Sus scrofa: one gene and its partners. Each later gene encodes a partner of the first gene's protein in a complex. Links are inferred from orthologs where the notes say so. Each region holds a gene or a part of one and is shown in the gene's direction. Other genes may lie near its edges.

The links.
Region 2: the proteins of CCDC114 (region 1) and CCDC151 are in contact, whole or in part, in a cryo-EM structure (PDB 9CPB), measured with the Bos taurus proteins. The link is inferred for Sus scrofa from reciprocal best matches to the Homo sapiens genes ODAD1 and ODAD3. Residues at the interface, in XP_024834988.1 of Bos taurus: Leu31, Gln32, Gln34, Cys35, Met38, Glu41, Arg42, Tyr45, Val49, Arg52, Ile53, Gln56, Leu57, Glu59, Ile60, Leu63, Glu64, Val66, Arg67, Leu70, Arg71, Gln73, Ile74, Ala77, Gln78, Asp86, Arg89, Leu90, Ser92, Met93; in NP_001095517.1 of Bos taurus: Gln69, Leu73, Lys76, Ile77, Leu79, Leu80, Asp83, Arg84, Phe87, Tyr88, Thr91, Asn94, Ile95, Asn98, Gln99, Thr101, Ile102, Leu105, Arg106, Glu108, Thr109, Leu112, Gln113, Gln115, Leu116, Leu119, Gly122, Asp123, Val126, Ala129.
Region 3: CCDC114 (region 1) and TTC25 share a complex: the UniProt entries of both Homo sapiens proteins name them as parts of the outer dynein arm-docking complex. The link is inferred for Sus scrofa from reciprocal best matches to the Homo sapiens genes ODAD1 and ODAD4.
Region 4: CCDC114 (region 1) and EFCAB1 share a complex: the UniProt entries of both Homo sapiens proteins name them as parts of the outer dynein arm-docking complex. The link is inferred for Sus scrofa from reciprocal best matches to the Homo sapiens genes ODAD1 and CLXN.

What each region holds. Positions count from the first base shown.
Region 1 is NC_010448.4:53,751,525-53,756,128, reverse strand, and holds the start of CCDC114 (coiled-coil domain-containing protein 114), read left to right. Parts: upstream 1-1,620; 5' UTR 1,621-1,738; intron 1,739-2,146; exon of another isoform or gene 2,147-2,165; intron 2,166-2,415; exon of another isoform or gene 2,416-2,613; 5' UTR 2,614-3,015; coding exon 3,016-3,085; intron 3,086-3,121; exon of another isoform or gene 3,122-4,216; coding exon 4,217-4,316; intron 4,317-4,480; coding exon 4,481-4,604. UniProt on the Homo sapiens protein: Component of the outer dynein arm-docking complex (ODA-DC) that mediates outer dynein arms (ODA) binding onto the doublet microtubule. Involved in mediating assembly of both ODAs and their axonemal docking complex onto ciliary microtubules.
Region 2 is NC_010444.4:70,087,260-70,091,085, reverse strand, and holds the end of CCDC151 (coiled-coil domain-containing protein 151), read left to right. Parts: intron 1-722; coding exon 723-883; intron 884-970; coding exon 971-1,199; intron 1,200-1,766; coding exon 1,767-1,922; intron 1,923-2,365; coding exon 2,366-2,450; intron 2,451-2,599; coding exon 2,600-2,718; 3' UTR 2,719-2,967; downstream 2,968-3,826. Other genes in the region: RGL3 (ral guanine nucleotide dissociation stimulator-like 3), read left to right, coding at 3,489-3,521. UniProt on the Homo sapiens protein: Component of the outer dynein arm-docking complex (ODA-DC) that mediates outer dynein arms (ODA) binding onto the doublet microtubule. Involved in mediating assembly of both ODAs and their axonemal docking complex onto ciliary microtubules.
Region 3 is NC_010454.4:20,781,044-20,785,164, reverse strand, and holds part of TTC25 (tetratricopeptide repeat protein 25), read left to right. Parts: intron 1-322; coding exon 323-547; intron 548-720; coding exon 721-928; intron 929-4,121. UniProt on the Homo sapiens protein: Component of the outer dynein arm-docking complex (ODA-DC) that mediates outer dynein arms (ODA) binding onto the doublet microtubule. Plays an essential role for the assembly of ODA-DC and for the docking of ODA in ciliary axoneme.
Region 4 is NC_010446.5:79,373,567-79,378,486, forward strand, and holds the start of EFCAB1 (EF-hand calcium-binding domain-containing protein 1), read left to right. Parts: upstream 1-1,927; 5' UTR 1,928-2,102; coding exon 2,103-2,373; intron 2,374-3,133; exon of another isoform or gene 3,134-4,920. UniProt on the Homo sapiens protein: Component of the outer dynein arm-docking complex (ODA-DC) that mediates outer dynein arms (ODA) binding onto the doublet microtubule. Seems to regulate the assembly of both ODAs and their axonemal docking complex onto ciliary microtubules.

The sequences.
Region 1 (4,604 bases):
ATAAAGAAAAATAAGGGTGATCAGGCAAGGCTTCTCTGAGAAGGTGACATCTAAGCTGAGACTTGAAGGCAGGAGTCATTTGAATGCTGGCGGGGGGTGGGGGGAGGAAGTGCACAGGCCTTTGAGAACAAGCTCAGGTTGTTTGGGGAGCAGACAGAAGGGCCAGTGTGGCTAGAACGTAGGGAGCTAGAGGGAGTGGTAGGAAGGGAAATCAAAGAGGCCCTTGAAGCCCAGAGGAGGAGTTTGGATTTTATTCTAAGTGCAGTGGGAAACCATTGGAGGGTTTTAAACAGAAGTGCAGTACCAGGGACTTAATGTAAACTATAATAATAATGATATTATTATTATTTATTCTTGGGTTACTGTGCTGGGATGGGAGGTGATGACCACTATGTACCTGGGTCTCTTGGCAGGCTTGGGTGCTGTTGGGTGTACCTGGGTGTTGGCAAGGACAAGGGAACTAGGTGCCTGGGGTTCTGATGTGGAGTGAAAGCTGGAGAACTGAAAATCCTGGGTCCCTCCAAGGGAAGGGAACTGGATGAGGGGATGTCTGGGTATATGATGGGGCCACAACTAGAAGACCGAAAGCAGCTGGTCATCTGGGCTCCTTGAAGGTGTGAGGGAGGGGCGGTCCAGTAACCCGGGAGACCTGGAAGCTGGGTACCACTGTAGCACAGACTCTATAGAGACACACTGGCTAGATTCAAATAAAAGCTGCTTGACTCATTAACTGTGATTTGGGGGCAAGTTACTAATTTTGCTATGCCTCAGTTTCTGTCTGTAAAATAGGTATAATAATAGTAAATACATCACAGAGCAGTTCTTAGAGGAGTGACTGGCACATAGTAAGCACTGTGGTAAGTGCTTGTGATGCTAGTCATTGGGGCTCTGAGTGGATTCAGTACTGGGAGACCTGAGATCAAGGTCTCTAGGATTTGGGGAAGTGGCAAATTCTTGGGTCCATTGGGCCCAAGGCTAAAAAGTTGGGAGTACAAAATGAAAATACTAAATAAAATGGGGGGGGGATAAGTAGTTCCATCTTACATCTTGGAGAAGAACAGAGACTGGGGGTCTGAACTCAGGCCCTGAATAAGTTAGAAAGTCTGGGTCACTGGAGGAAACATGAGACCTGAGATCCCATGCTCTTCCTGGAGTGGAGGTAAATTGGATTGGACCTGGGTCCTGGGAGGAGTCTGGGAACCAGGGGCTAGGGAAATGAAAATCTGAGCGGGAGGAAGTGGAGAACAGGAGGCTAGACCTCTGAATCAAGTTCCCTGAGTGGAATCAGCGCCGGAGTTGGGTACCCTGGGGATGTTCCAGGCGGGGGTCCCCCATGCTAGGATCCTGTAGAAGGGGGGAAACTCAAGGGACTCGTGGTGGGATCTCCCCTATCTGGGCCTCCAAGGCCACGAGCTGAGCGCCAGCGGGTCGCTTCCTCCCACAGGAAACCGCAGGCGTCAGACACACCCAGCCTGCAGGGAGCTGCGCCCACTGCCCTCCCGCTTGGAGGAGGCCCACGTGGGCAGCAGCCTGCCGTCAAGGGGGCGTGCCCTGTGGCGCGAGGGGGCGTGACCACAGGGCGGGGCCGGAAAGCGGGACAACACAGAGCGCCCTAGACCCCGCCCACTTCCGCCTCTCAGTGCGCGGACCTCTTAAGTGGTTGAGGGGTTTTGGCTGCCTTTCCCGAGGCCGTTGGCCGCGCATGCGTAGTGCGCCGCTTCGAGGACCTGAGGCAGTGGTGAGCGCTCCTTCCCCTAGCAACTCCCAGCATCGGCACCGCCACCTTGCTAATGAATCCTCAAAATAACGTGATCTTAATCATCTGAAGACGCGCATCTCTCGCGCCCCATCCCGAAACACCTTGGCCCAGCTCCAAAACCTTCCAGACGTTTCCCTCCCAGCCCCGCCTCCACAGACTCCTTTGGCTCAGATATCCCCTCCCGGAAACACACATCGCGCCCCTGACGACCCCAACAGACCATCAGGACCTCCCCCAAGCTTTCCAAGCCTGAGTGCCTCCTAGTTAGCCCTGTCTACCACAAGCTCTGGAATCCGCGTACTTCCTGCGCCCTCCCACCAGGCCCCTCACGTGTTCTTCCAACCACGCCCCTCACCAGCCCCCGAAGCCCCACCCTTCACAAGGCCCGCAGCCACGCCCTTTACAGGTATCCTTGCACCCCTCCCTCAGGGCCCCGAAGCTCCGCCCTGCACCGGTATCTGCGTCCCTGCCTTCACAAGGTCCCCCAGCCACAACCCTCTTGGGCCCCTCCAGCCCTGCCCTTCCTTCGCAAGCCCTGAAGCCCACACCCTCAGGCCGGCCTCGCCTCAGAGGCCCTTCCAGCCCCGCCCATCGTAGGCCTCTACGGCTCCGCCCCTCGCAAGGCCTCCAGCCCCGCCCCTCGTAAGGCCTAGAGCCCCGCCCCCTCAGCCCTCCAGTCCCGCCGCTTGCTGGGCTCCCCTAGCACATCTGTTCACAGCACCCGAGCTCCCCGCAGGTCTCCTCGCGGCCTCCTAGCCCCTCCTCCCCAGCCGCCCCTCCCACGGCTTTCTTCTGTGGCCTTGGTCCCTCCCCGGCTGCTGTCCCCAGGCCTCATTGGTCTCTTATCTCCCCAGTAACCAGACCACAACACTGAGCTTGGAGTACCCAGGACAGGTCCAGCACTCCGGCAGGTAGGGACCGGCCTCGCTCCCCTCAGCCGACGGGGGTGGGGTGGTTCTCCTTCCTCTGTGAGCCGCCTCCCCAAACCGCCCCCATCAGAGATACCGAGAGCCTAGAGGACCTGTCCCCCGCGCCAGAATCAGAGCCGCGACGCAAGACAGAGAGTGTGAGAGGTGGGAGGTCGGGAGGGGCATGGCAAGAGGCCTGAGAGATGCCCCCTCCAACCCGCTGGAGGGATTGCGACCCAAAGAGAGGCCAGAGCTGGTTCTGGGATCAGTTCCTAGCCTTTTGCCTTTCATCACCCACCCTCCTAGCCCTCTCCTGCTCGCCTCCTGAAGGGGTCCTCTTTGGCCAAGATGCCTTTGGGACTCTCTGCTGGGAGCACCCGCTCCGAAGATGGAAGCGAGGCCTTCTTGGAGGGAATGGGTAATTCGTACATTCTTGATTCATTCTTTCCCTCAGTTTGTCCTGTTTCAGGTCCTGTGCAGCTGGGGCCCCGTGGATGGGGAGGCTTTTCAGGACAGCCCTGTGGAGGCGGGGAGCAGATAGTAGCCCAAGCCTGGGGAGTGGGATGGCCAGGAAGACTTCCTGTAGGAGGAGACGTTTGAGTGGGGCCCAGAACTGCTCCCAGGAATTTCCACCAGGAGAAGGAAGGGAAGAGTGAGCAGAAAGAACAGCATGTGACCAAAGCAAGGTTCTTCCGCCTCCACACCGTTGACACCTGGGGTCAGAACGTTCTTTGCTATGGGTGGGGGCGTCCTGGGCATTGGAGGGTACTAGGTGCATCCCTGCGCCCCCGCCCCCCCCCCTGCTGCACACCAGAAGCACCCGCAATCCATGCCTGCACAGTCAAAAATGTCTCCAGACATGGCCAAATGTCCTTAGGGGGTAGAATTGCTCCTGGTTGAGAACGGCTGGGAGATGGGGAAATGGTGGAGAGCCTGGAGCGGTGGGTAGGATTGGGTTTGTGGGGCCTCGAACACCAGGCTGGGGAGCTGGGACTTTGTCCAGGGTGAGTCCTGGGTCTAGGGCTTCTGTGGCTGTGAGGAAAGGCCGGCAGGTTGAAGAGGAGGAGGGGGTAATGATGGTTCAGGGAGAGAGAATGAGGCCTGAACCTAGGGGATGGGCTGAGGATGAGGAGGCAGGAGGGTGGGAATTAGCACTGCTGGGTGGGTGTTGGGGCAGAAAGGAAGGGAGGGAAGGAGAGTGGTGCCTCTGGGGGCCTAGGCTCCTGTCCTCAGCTTTCCCAAGTGCCAGGTTGGTGCTTTGGTCCCTGAGGACTGTGAGGCCTCCAGGAGTGCCCTCTAGTGGGGAGACAGTTGTATGCAACCATCTGCGGCAGGAGTGGTTTTAGGGAAAAAATGGGGAAGTCAGCTTGCAGTGCAGGGAGTATGAAGGGGTGAGGAAGCCTGGGGATACAGAAACTGAGATGCAGCCCTAGAATGGTGCTGGCAACTGAGCCTGCAGTTTCGTTGCAGAGCCAAAATTCCTAGGTCCTGGGGAGGAAGGGCCTGGGAGCTGGGTTCCTCCTGAGTCCCTGGCTTCGTCCTGCCTCAGTGGATTGGGAGCTGAGCAGACTGCAGCGGCAATGCAAAGTGATGGAGGGTGAAAGGCGAGCCTACAGCAAGGAAGTCCACCAGCGCATCAACAAGCAACTGTGAGCCAGGCGCCTGGGTCCCTAGAGCTGGGGATGGGCTGTTAATGAGGCTGGGGGCTGGGTTCCCGGGGCTGTGGCCAAAGGGCAGGCCCAGAATGTCAGGACGTTAGTGATGCTGAGCTCTGCCCCTTTCCTGCCTTCCCTCCACTTCCCTGTCTGGGCAGCGGGGAAATCCAGCGCCTGGAGGGGGTGCGGGACAAGTTGCAGGTGCAGATCAGCATTGCCCAGAGCCAGGTCAAGCGGCTGCGGGACAGCGAGAGGCTGGAGAACATGGGTCACCTGCTCAAG
Region 2 (3,826 bases), on another chromosome or scaffold:
CATATGGAAATTCCCAGGCCAGGAGTTGAATCGGAGCTATAGCTGCCAATCTATACCACAGCCATAGCAACACAGGATCTGAGACATGTCTACACCACAGCTCACAGCTACACTGGATCCTTAACCCACTGAGAAAGGCCATGGATTCCTTGAAATTTTCTAAGACCATAGGTCCCTGGCTGGAAAACACTGTGATTCCCCTGGACCTCTGTTGGGTTTCTCCACTTTGGGCACCCTCGAATCTATTACTCCTCCCATGGGCTGACTCACAAGGGGTTCCAGAACTTGGACCTATGGGGTCATCTGGAGCACTGTAGTTGAGCACCTTTCCAGAAGTTGGCCTAATGGGCAGATCTCTCTCACAACCCCTTCCTGGAGGGGGCAAGAGTTACTGCCAGAATGTTGCTGGCACTATAGACTTTGGAAAGTAGCTGTGCTTCACTGCTGTCGCTGCCCCACAATGTGATTTTGGCTGATTCAATTTCCTTATCTAGACAAGGAAGGGGCCGTAAAAAATCATTCGTCCGGGGTCGCACACCCTGGACGACTCATACCAGTCCGACTCACAGACTGGCCACCAGTCCGACTCACAGAGCGCCTGAACACCAGTGGGCAGAAGCCACCAGCTCAGGCCACCTGTCCTGTGTGTCCGGGGGAAAGGAAGAGGGGTACACCCATGCCTGCATAGGCCCTGGCTCTGATTTGGGCTGGGCGGCCCGCAGGCGGTGGTGCGGCGGTTCCTGGCACAGGGAGAAACCTTCACACAGTTGGAGACACTCAAGATCGAGAACGAGCAGATGCTGCTGAGGCTGAAGCAAGAGAAGCAGAGGCTGCAGAAGGAGCTGGAAGACCTCAAGTACTCAGGAGAGGCCATGCTGATGAGGTGAGGCCCGGGTGCCTCAGGGAGAGAGTGGTGCCTTGTTGGGGAAGTTCAGTACTGCTCCCATCTCAGACTGCCTTCTTCCTGCAGCGAACAGAAGCTGCAAGTCGAGTTGCAGGAGCGCATCAAGGCGGAGGAGCAGCGGCGTGCTGATGTGCAGGATAGGCTGGAGCGTACCATGCGGGCAATGCATATGACCAAGGAGGCCCTGGAACACCTGGCAAGCAAGCTAGACCACATCACAGTAGCAGACTCCGCCCCTGAGGAAGCTCCGCCCAGAGCCCCGCAGGACGTGAGAGGCAGCTCCACCATCACGCAGGTGGATTCCCGCCCCAAAGTCCACTCAAGAGAACCCACCCCATGCCCTGTCCAGTACATGAGAGGCCCGAACACAGGGGAAACTCCAACCTGCTCCTCAGAGTCCTCAGCCAGCGTCCAAGAGGAGACCCCCTTACTCCTCAAGAGGCCCAGGACTTCAGAGACCTTATCCCATTTCAAGTCCCGCCTCCACAGGAAAGTCCTACCTTGCCCCCCACACCCACCGAAGACTTAAGAGAACCCCCCCTCCAATCCTGGAGCAGCCACAGACAAGAGAAGTCCCACCCTGCCCACTGCAGAGTCCCATTTCTTCAGAAGGTCAGCCTGACAATGGCCTTCCTCCCACTAAAAGACTCATCCCCCTCCCATTACCCCCTGGCTTGGGTCTCTGGAGTTCAGAGGCCTTGCCTCACAAGCGTAGCCTTTGTTCATAAAGGGTAGCACCGCTCTTGTTAGTCACCCCTCACTTCAAAGGCCTTATCCCTAAGAGGAAAAGCCCCCTGCCTGGGTGAGACCTTTCCTGGAGGCCCCGTCCCTCCTGGCTGACAGAGCTCCGCCCCTGCCACAGGAGGCCAGCGGCTTCGCGGGAAAGGAGCTGGATCCCAAGGCAAGTGACTATTTGCCCAACCTACTGGGCCTCGTGGAGGAAAAATTGTTGAAGCTGCAGGCGAAACTCCAGAACCACAATGTGCCAGAGATGCTGCGCCACATTGCCGACCGAGAGGTGCTCATTCAGCCAGAGGGTGGGGCTGAGGATGCAGGGGCTGGGGCGGAAAACCAGGGAGTCAGGACCACACTTTGGAGACCAGGGAGGGGGCCAGTGGGCTGGGAATGGGCTTCAGGGACAACGGGTGAGGTTTAAGGAGCCCAGATTGAGCCAGGAGAGTTTCCTGAGGGCCCTGGCAGCCCAGAAGTCTGGGCTTGTGGGGTACAGGGGTCAGGCCAAGGGGTAGGACCTAGAGACTAGGGGCGGGCCTGAAGGTGGGGTGTTGCTGGGCATCAGAGTGAGCACTGGGAACAAATGATACGGCTGTGCCCAAGGAAAACTTTACAGGAGTGGGCAGAGGTGCTGAATGGGATTGGGGTGTATCTTGGGGGGTGGGGGAGATGCACTTCCCTGCAGCCCTGTGCATTCACACTCTTCTCTCCCGCTCCCACCTCCCCCAGTTCTTCTCCACCCTAGAGGGAAAGCTGCCTTCCTACAACACCCGCATCGCCCTGCCTCTTGCTGGTCACAAGGACAAGTTCTTCGGTCTGTCTGGGCAGGAAAAGGGGGTGGGACTGGGGGCCCTAGCAGAGCTTTGGGAGGTAGTCAGGGACCGGACCTAGGGCCAAGGTGGGGGTGGGAAGGGAAAGCTGAGTCACGAAGGGGAACCTTGATCCCCTCATCGCCCTTCGCAGACGAAGAGGAGAGTGAGGAGGAAGACAACGAGGTGGTGACCCGTGCAGCGCTCAAGATGCGTTCCCAGAAATTAATCGAATCCCGCAGCAAGAGGCGCGGTCGCTCTCGGAAGTCCTAGACGCGCCCTCGCGCCCACCTGGCGCTTCCGGGCCCCTGCGGAGCACCCCCACCCCAATCCCTCTGGGCCCAGCTGCGGGCCCAAAGGGGGGCCCCTTCAAGGGCTGATCGCAGCCCGCACAAGGGAGCCGACTGGGCGGGTGACGCGAGGAGTGGAGAAGGGGGCTGGGCCGCCGGATGTTCCCACAGTAAATCTCAGGCTGGTCCGCACCAGCCTCAGAATCGCGCAATAAAGGTCACCAACAAGCCCCCTGTGTATTCCCCTCTCCTTGATCCTGCACTGCCCCAAAGACAGCTACCCCTCAAACCCAGGACCACAGATTCAGCTCTCTCTGACCTGGGGAGTGATGACTTCCATCAGCTAGGGACACCACTGAGCTCACCCTGTCCCTCCAGAAAAATGGGAGATGCCTCCATACCTGGAGCAGACCAGCCCTCCCCATCTAAGGTCTCAAGTCTGTCCCCCACTTAGCTATACACACTCCCCCACACACCTAAGGACACAAAAAAAGAGCCTGCCCCTAGGAGAGAGAGAGGGGCCTTTCTCCCGGTGCAGAATACACACCTATCCGGAGAGCCCAGGCTTCTCCAGGGGCCTGGGCTGGGAGCTGGGGTCCCACAGGGATATCCGAGAGCCCTGGGTCCACCCCGCTCCGCCCCCGCGCGGCCCGGCCGCCCCGCCCAGCCGGCCCAACGCCCAGCCACTGCCCGCGACCCGCAGGCCCTTCCGCCTCACTCAGCCGCGTCGGCGGAGCGGGACGGTTGCGGATCATGGAGCGGACAGCGGGCAAGGAGCTCGCCCTGGTAAGGGGAGCTGGGGCTCCGGGGTCTCACATCCCTGGCGGCTACCAGGTCCAGAAACTCCAGGTTCCTGCCCCCCTGGACCCCTTCTCCCCTCAAATCAGACCCTTCGGATCCTCTCTGGACTCCATACCTCGGTCCTCTGGGCCCCTGACCCAGTGAAGTGGCTGGTTCCTCCTAGGGATGGTGGGGGAAGAGGAGTTAGTTCTCTGAGCACAGGAGGGACCAGAGACAGACTCTGTAAGACTGGACCCTGGGACATTCCCAAAAGCCACCCTTTCCAAGGACCAGGGAGGAGGGTACCCATG
Region 3 (4,121 bases), on another chromosome or scaffold:
CATGCACAAGTTCCTGGACCAGGGATTGAACCTGTGCCACAGCAGTGACAATGCCAGATCCTTAACCCGCTGCGCCACCACAGACCTCCCAGTTGCCCCTTTTGTTAGTCTTGCCATAAGGGGCCTGTACCGTGGGGGCTGAAAGGGGGGCTCTGGCCTCATCTGGACCCAGACAGACCCACTTTTCCACCCCTGTGCTCTTGCTTTCATTGCTGTTCCTCAGTCCCCGGATAGAGGTCCCCACCAGGAGACCCTTAGCCGAGGGGCCGCGACTCCCATTGATGCCTGTTCTAGTTGGTTCCTCCCACACCCTTCCCCACAGACTTGATAAGAGGCACCATCAAGCACGGCCTGACTGTGGAGGACCTCATCATGACAGGCATCAACTACCTGGACACTCGCAGTAACTTCTGGAGGCAGCAGAAGCCCATCTACGCCCGGGAGCGGGACCGGAAGCTGATGCAAGAGAAGTGGCTGCGGGACCGCAAACGCCGCCCCTCGCAGACAGCCCACTACATCCTCAAGAGCCTGGAGGACATTGACATGTGTGGGTGGTGGCCTCAGAAGAGTGGGTCCTGGGCCAGGTGGGGTCGGAGCCACGGAGCAGCCTGAGCCCCTGGCTTCGCTGGCCTGTGGGTGGTCTCTGGCGGGGAGGTGGGCTCTCCCGTCAGCCGGTGGGGTGGCTGCTCCCTGCGCCACATCACCTCTTTCCCTTCCCAGTGCTAACCAGTGGCAGTGCTGAAGGCAGCCTTCAGAAAGCTGAGAAAGTGCTGAAGAAGGTTCTGGAATGGAGCAAAGAGGAGGTGCCCAACAAGGATGAACTGTTGGGAAACTTGTACAGCTGCATAGGGAACGCCCAAATGGAGCTGGGGCAGATGGTGGCAGCCCTGCAGAGCCACAGGAAGGACCTGGAGATCGCCAAGGAATAGTGAGTCCCGCGACTGCTTGAAGGCCAAGCGCAAGGCCTGTGGGCGTCACTGAGGCCCGGGCTGGGGCTGCTAGTGTCTGAGCGCCTGCTTTCTGCCCTGCATGCCTGAGGTGGATTCCCCTGGAGGGAGTAGCCACCCCCCTAGGACAAAGGGACACCTGGGCGGTCAGCTTTTTTGCCACAAAGAGGAAGGTAGTGGCCCCAAACTCCAAAAAGCTCCCAGTGGTTTGGCTCTTAGGAATATTTTTTTTTTTATCACCTCAACAAGTATTTATCAAGTCCAGACATGCCAGGTGCTGCTGGCATTGGGAACACAGTGGTGACCAGATACAAACTTCATTTCCTTGCAGATGTAAAACAAAGCAAGGTCACAGTTGCGTTCAGTGTCATGGGGAAAAAGTCCAGGACACAGTGCGGAGAAGCGCCCTCCAGGAGGGCCTGACGGGGTGTGGGTGACTGGGGCTGTGACTGGCTCCTGCTCAATTCTACCCAGGTCCCAGTTCTGAGCCCCTCTCAGTCTCCCAGCACCCCGCTTCCACTCAGGTCCGCCCGCGTTCCTCTCCCTGCCTCAGCTGCTCCCACATGACACGCTGCTTTTCACGCATCAGCTCTCTTTTCCTTGCTGACAATAGGCCTTGGTCCCTCACTGCCTGCAGATTAAAACCGAATGCGTTTTCCTGGCCTAAGGGTGCTCTTGGACCTACAGCCCTCTGAGGTCAAGTCCGGAACATTCCTGCCTCCTGCCCTCTCTTCCTTGCTCCAAGGAGCCCTATAAGCTGTTGGTCCATTCCCACTTCATTTCTCGCCTGCCTCCACCGTGCTGGGCAGGAGTCTTACGTATTGGCCATTCCAGAAGTAGAAAACAAGCAGACAAGCAGCTTTGGAGACAGACTTGACTTTGATTCCTGCCTTTGGCACTTAGAAGCTGTGTGGATTTGATTAAGTTGCTTGCTTTCTCGTTTCCTCATCTCTAATGAAGGCTTCATAATACCAACCTAGGGAGTTCCTGTTGTGGAGCAGCGGAAACGAATCTAAGAAGCATGAGGTGGCAGGATTGATTCCTGGCCTTGCTCAGTGGGTTAAGGATCTGGCGTTGAGCTGTGGTGTAGGTGGCAGACACGGCTAGGATCCCAGGTTGCTGTGGCTTTGGCATAGGCCAGCAGCTGCAGCTCCAATTCGACACCTAGCCTGAGGAACTTCTATAGGCTAGGTGCGGCCCTTAAAAGCAAAAAAAAAAAAAAAAAAAAAAAACCCACAAAAAAACCTCAGTTCCCATTGCAGTGCAATGGGATCAGTGGCATCTCTGCAGTGCCAGGGCGCAGGTTTGATCCCTGGCTTGGAACAGCAGGTTAAAGGATCCCACATTGCTCCAGATGTGGCATAGGTTGCACCTGGGGCTCGGTTCTGATCCCTGACCCGGGGATTCCATATGTTGAGGGGCGACCAAAAGAGAAAATAATAACAATAATAGTATTGGCTGACAGAATTCTGTGGGTGAAATAAACTAAGTATATACAGTACTTTGGATCTAACTATCTCCCATGCCCTAAAAGACGTATAAATCTTCTTGCCATTCCTCCCAGGCTTCACCCTCGCATGTGCAGTGGATTCCAAGGCCTTTCTCTTGGATATTCCACAGGAACCCCAAATTCAGCATGTCCAAGGCGGAATCCCTCACCTTTCTTCCCAACCTCCTGCTCTGGCATTCCCTATCCATGAGGGTGGCACTGTTGGCTGCTCAGTGCCCAGGAAGGAGCCCACATGGCTTCCGGACACCCCCTCCCCTCCCTGCCCCCGCCAGCACACCCGTCCCCCAAGTCTGGCCCGCCACCGCCTGTCCCCTTGCTCTGCAGCACTTCCCTTTGCTTTCCCTCCCACAGCTCAGCCCAGACTTCCTCCCTGCTTGCGTCTTTCTTCTGGCCTGGGTTTCTGGCCACCTACCTGGCCCTTTTGTGCAAGCAAAACAAACCCAGTGGGTGACATCCAGCAACCGGTTCTGCTCAGCTCAGACCACACTTCCTGACCCAACTAATCCTGACCTCCGCTGACATGGCCCTCTCTGGGCCCCTGAGCAGCACCTCACAGCTCTGCTTCTGCTCAGCCTTCTTTTTCCAGCCCTTTCTTCATCCATCCCTTCCCAGCCCATTCTTCAATTGTTTTTTTTTTGTTTGTTTTTTTGGGTTTTTTTTTTTTTTTGCTTTTTAGGGCCATACTCAGAGCTTATGAAGGTTCCCAGACTAGGAGTCCAATCAGAGCTGTAGCCGCTGGCGTACACCACAGCCACAGTAACTCCGGATCCAAGCCGCGTCTGCGACCTACACCACAGCTCATGGCATTGCTGGATCCTTAACCCCCTGAGGGAGGCCAGGGATCGAACCCACAACCTCATGGAGCCTAGTCAGGATCGCTAACCACTGAGCCACAAAGGGAGCTCCCATTCTTCAATTGTAAATAAGTGTTTGCCTTGGGGAAAAGCCTTCCATACGCCCCAGAGTGATTTAGCAGCCCCTCCGCTGTGCTCCCTCTCCACCCTCCACCCGCTTCCTGTCTGCCCTGTTAGACCGTGGACGTGTAAATTCCCTTTCTCTTCCCAACACCTGCCACGTGCTGGGCTTAAAATGAATGTGCACTCAGTGACTGATTTAGGTAACCAGGTGTTCCTGAAACAATGTTAGTTCCTTTTCCACGTTGACACACAGGCCCCCGGTCATACCTGTGAGTCTTACCTGTGGGCCCACCTGCTCCCTCAGTCGAATCAGCACCCCTCCCCCACCTCTGCCTGCCACCCACCCCCCCAAAGCCTACCATCCTTCAAGGGGCAGCTCAACGCCTGACGTGTCTGAGTAGCTTCTTGAGGGCCCCCAGCCCTCATTTCTTTCTCTGAATTCTCCATAGGTGAGTTGATTGGACGCTTTCTCAGTCCCGTAATTGTGTCTTAGTACATGTCATTATTATGAGTAAAGCATTTCAACTTGCTTACTCACACCGTACATAGCAGGGCACCCGCTCTAGAAGGGGAGGCCGACATCAGAGCAGCAGATTGTGGCCGAGGAGCCAAGAGAGAGGAGCTGACGGGGGCCTCGGAAAGGAGAGTGGACAAGGGTGAGGGAGGGGGGGCACCCTAGGCAGGGGGGCAGGGCAGGGGTGGAGGATTCGGGCAACCCGCAGATAGTGCGGTGGGGCCAGGCACCAG
Region 4 (4,920 bases), on another chromosome or scaffold:
CTCTGCACCTGTGCTCTGTCTCCAGCTGCCCCACACAGGGAACCACACACAGAGCAGGTGTGGCCGGCTGAGGGCAGCCCCTCTCTCCTCCGCCCCATCCCACTGACCAGGACCCAGGGCTATGGAAACAAGTGATGCAAAGGGCTGAGAAGGGTGGTCTCCCACGACCAGAAGGGACATTAAAGATGTGACTATAACGATCTCGGAGCAGCCCTAACATGTCTCCACTTATGCTGTTTGATCAACTCTATGTCAAGAACAAAAGGCTGTGAGTCTCCAAATAACAGAGATGCCAAAGAAAGTACATTCTCAAACGGCAGGTGGTAGTCAATAAGAAGACCATTTTGTTGAATAACTGTGAAGCTTTGACCAAAATGAAAAAACAAAATAAAAACCACTGTGTAAGACTATAGGTAGAAAACCAGATATGAAATGAAGTGAGTGAGTCATTTACAGGCAGAATACTTGAGTGAGGAATTTAATTCAAGGTGGACATCAGTAATGTAGTCAATTTTATAAAAATAGAGCCTTGAAATGTTAAGAAACTTAGCCAATGATTCACAATGAGGAGGATGTGATGTTGGGTCCCCTGCACTGATGCTCGCTGCTCAGAGCACTGTGGGGACTACAAACACTAAGGGCCAGGGTGAGCTCTGAGTTGCTGACTCTCCTTGAAGACAGGCATCCAGGTTTGCTGGTGTTTTCTGTGACGTGCAGCCCTCATCTACCAGAGAGATGCCTGTGCCACGACCAGTAGGGGGAGGGCTGGGTGAATAGTAAAAACGCAACAACCACGCGTGACAAACACAACAGGAAATGTGGGACAGACACAACTCCCTCAGCTGACACAGGGCATCTGTGAGAAATGCACAGCTGACACCACACATGATGGTGAACTACTGGGTGCATTCCCTCCAGTGCAGGAAACAAAGCAAGGGTTTCCGCTCTTACACTTCTCTTCAACATCATGCTGAACATGTAATGCAAAAGCGGGAACCCTTTCTTCATTCCCCGTGTTGGAGAGAAAGTGCCCAATATTTCACCATTAAAGGAAGATTGGAAAATAAGTAAAAATGTCTTTATTTGTAAAGAACATTATCATTGCTATAGAAAATCTTAAATAATTATAAAAAAATCTAATAGAAGTAGTATATGAGTTTAGTATGGTCCCAGCATACAAAAGCAACATGCAAATATCAATTACATTTTATGTACTATCACATATTAAATATTGCTTTTATATTAGCATCAAAAATACTTATAAGTGGGAGTTCCCGTTGTGGCGCATCAGAAACAAATCCAACTAGTATCCATGAAGATGAAGGTTCAATCCCTGACCTCGCTCAGTGGGTCGGGGATCTGGCGTTGCCGTGAGCTGTGGTACAGGTTGCAGACATGGCTTGGGTCCCACACTGCTGTGACTGTGGCACAGGTATAGCTCTGATTCAACCCCTAGCCTAGGGCCTTCCATAAGCCACACTCGCAGCCCTAAAAAACAAAACAAAACAAAACAAAAAAAACCCAAACTTATAAGTAAGTTCCCTCATGGATCAGCAGATTAAGGATCCAGTGTTGTAACTCCTGTGGCTCTGGTCCTATCCCTGGCCCAGGAACTTACACACACTGAGAGTATGGCAAAAAAAAAAAAAAAAAAAAAAAAAAAAAAAAAAAAAAAAAAAAAAAAACTTATGTAAAAATTGATGCTCAGCTATGTACACTTAAAACCTCAAAGCAATGCTGAGAAAAACTAACAAAGACCTAAAGAAATGGAGAGATATACCATGTTCATGGATCAGAAAAAATCAATACCATGAAGACATCGGTTCTCCCCAAATTGCTACATAGATATGATGCAACCCCAATCAACACCTCAGCACGACCTTTTTTGAGGACAAACTGACAAGCTTATTCTAAAACTCATATGAAATGAAATGCAAGCCAGGCAGGGGCAAATCTTTGAGAACCATGGAAACCACGCTTCCTGGCTTGGAGTTTTTCTCGCAGGCACTGAGAAGGCATTTCAACATTAAGCAGAAGGACGACATGACTGACCAGTGTTTTAGCTACATCACACTGAAATCCCATGAGCAGCTTCCCGGCGGATGCAGGAGCAGAGCATGGACTGTGTGGCAGTGAGCGTGTGCATTACCTACACCCTGAGAAGGTGGGTGAGAGGAAAGGGCAGAGCCGATGGGGTCCTGAAAAGGAGACATGGGGTCATGATGACAGTGACTTCCTTCTGGCTGTGCCTGAGCAGGAATGAGGAGATGGGCAGCCTCCTCTGGAGAGCATCTTCAGGAGGATGCAGGCTTCCAAGAAGAAAGATGGAGAGAAGCTCTGTACACAGAAGGCAAGTTCAGCAAATGTTCACAGGTAAAAGGGGCTGTTGCACAGCTGATGGGGTTGGAGAGACTGGGGCTCAGGAAAGGAGGGGGGGTGGGGAAGCAGGAATGTGTGGAGGGAGGAGGCAACTCCAAGACGATGGAATGGGGAGTGTGGGTGGAAGGGCCTGGTCCAGGCAGCCTTTGATGTCCAGGAAGAACCAGGCTGGCCTGAGGATAAACCTGTGACCACACAGAGGATCAGGATCACTGCCAGGCGGTTGTCTCTCCCTCTGGCCCCCTCAGAAAGGGGTGGGTGCCTTGTCCCTTGGGCAGTTCTATGGACAGCACAGCAGCCAGAGCCAGGCTCGGGGCCATGACCGAACAGGCAGTGGGAAGATCCTGGCAGTGTCCTTTGGCTACAGTGGTCAGCTCTGTGAAGCCAGGAGGGTCAGCTGGTCCCCAGGTGAGAGTGAGAAAAGGAGGGACTGACTAATGGAGCTAGAAACTCTCCACAGACCTGCCTGTGGGGATGGGGTGAAGGGCAGACAGAGGCCCTGGGGGGCAGGCAGGGGGGCAGCCCAGTGCTGCTGGAGGGGCTGAGGAGCATCAGGGGAGAGAAAGTGGTGAGAGACCAGGCTGGCTAAAGTCACCCCAGAATGCTCACCACTATCCCTACAGGATAGCACTGGTCCAACTCAAAGTAATTTATGCAGATAACTAAGCTTTATCTTTTCCTCTTATTAAAGTCCTTTCATAATAGATCTGTAAGTTACTTGGAAACCAACTCTATGATGTCATTTCCTACACAGCTTCCAAGGGCCTCCCTCATAAAATGTCCACACTAAGTGAAACAGTTTCTTCACCTTGAGAATCCCAGCTGTTTATCATGGTGAAAGTCCAGTGAATTGGGAGCCCAAGAGAAAACTGCTCTGCACACAGAATTTAGCATTGACAGCTCTCACAGTCACTTTCATGCACTTTGTACTCACAAAAGTAACCCCCTCGGGGCTGCGTGAACTTTGAGAAGTTCTGTGTTTCCAGCAGGGCCCAGATTAAGCAGTTTTTGATTATTCAATTGCTGACTGATTTGATCTGAGCTAACTGTTCAGGCTTAGTTGCCTCACTCAGAAAAGCCCTTGGGACAAAAACCTGCGTCTACTCTGCACAGGCCACAAAACCTACAAACAGAAATTACAACAGGCCTTGAGGTACGCTCAGCACACTCCTGCAGGCCCACGGCTCATTCTAAAGTCTGAATATACAAACCTGAAAACGTCCCAAGAATGCAGTGAACGCTCTGAAGTTTGCCGGTATGTTGACAAAACCCACCCCTAATAAATACCTGCCTCCCTGAGAAAGGTTTGCCAGACCTGCAGTGAGGCCAGAGCTCAGCCCATGCTCAGAGAAGTGACAGATGCCACCACACCTTTGTGAAGATTTGGCTAAAAGGACAATATGGAGGAAAGACATGGTTGGTGGGGGAGCCCACCAAGGCTTCTCAGTAGGCTCGGGACTTTTGCTGGTAGATTTGACTTCTACCAGCCCTTCCTCGGCTTTTCCACTTTAAGGGAATGGGGCTGGGGGAGGGGGGGTAGGCCTGAAGCTTGTGAAGGAAGAACAGAGCCAGAGCTGCTGGCCCTGGTGCACAAGGACCTCGCAGTGTTTGTCTGCCGAGGCACCTGCCCATGAGGGACTCCCACCTGTGGTGTCCCTTTGGCGCACCTGGTAGGAGAGGAGGGGCTCACAGCTTCTCTTATTGACCAGTGACCACTAATCTTCAAGTTGCTTGTGTTTAGAAGGAGCCCTACAGCGGTTCACTAAAGGTTTGCCTCGGCTCTGTCATCTGACAGGAGTCACCCAGGTTTTGGGGTGAGTGTATGAGGTTGATCCCTCCCCCATTTGTTCCCTACAATCCCATCACTATCATTTCATATCAGTTAACTGTTCTCAGGGAATTTGCTTTAGGATCATACAGGTCCTGCCTTCACCAAGCATCCTCACCTTGATTTCAAACAGCATCCCAACCCTCCATTCAACAAACAAATGGAACATGGAAAGAAAGTCAAAAACCTCAGTTGGGTGTTAACGGTTGGCAGAATTTTTCTACTTTCAGTTTAACAATGACAGTACATGTACTATAAAATAACTTGCATTATTTTATAAAAGACAAATAACAATTTGTATCTCATTTCCGAGGCTCAACAAGTGACACGTTGCAGAATATTCTAGGTTTTGTGCTCAAGACGAAGCTAACCCATGTTTTTGCGGTTCTAATTCAAAGAGGGTGGGTGTCTCATCTGTGTTCAGAACAGAAGGTCCTCTTAAAGATGTGAAGACTACCCTTTGTTTGCAGTCACAGAAACTGTCTTTCAAATAACTAAAGGATCCGTTTTACCGGGATATTTTCCAGGAAAGCAAGGTCAGGCTGTATCCCAAAGCTAGTGTCAGTTATCAGCTTGCCTTCGTTTGGGAGGGTGCCTCTTTAACCAGCTTAAAAATCGCCAGGGGTTTTCTCCAGACTCCACTGACAGCCTCCACCCCCACCTCAAGAATGAATGAGGGGAAAACAAACAACTATTCCAAGTTCCTTTTGATC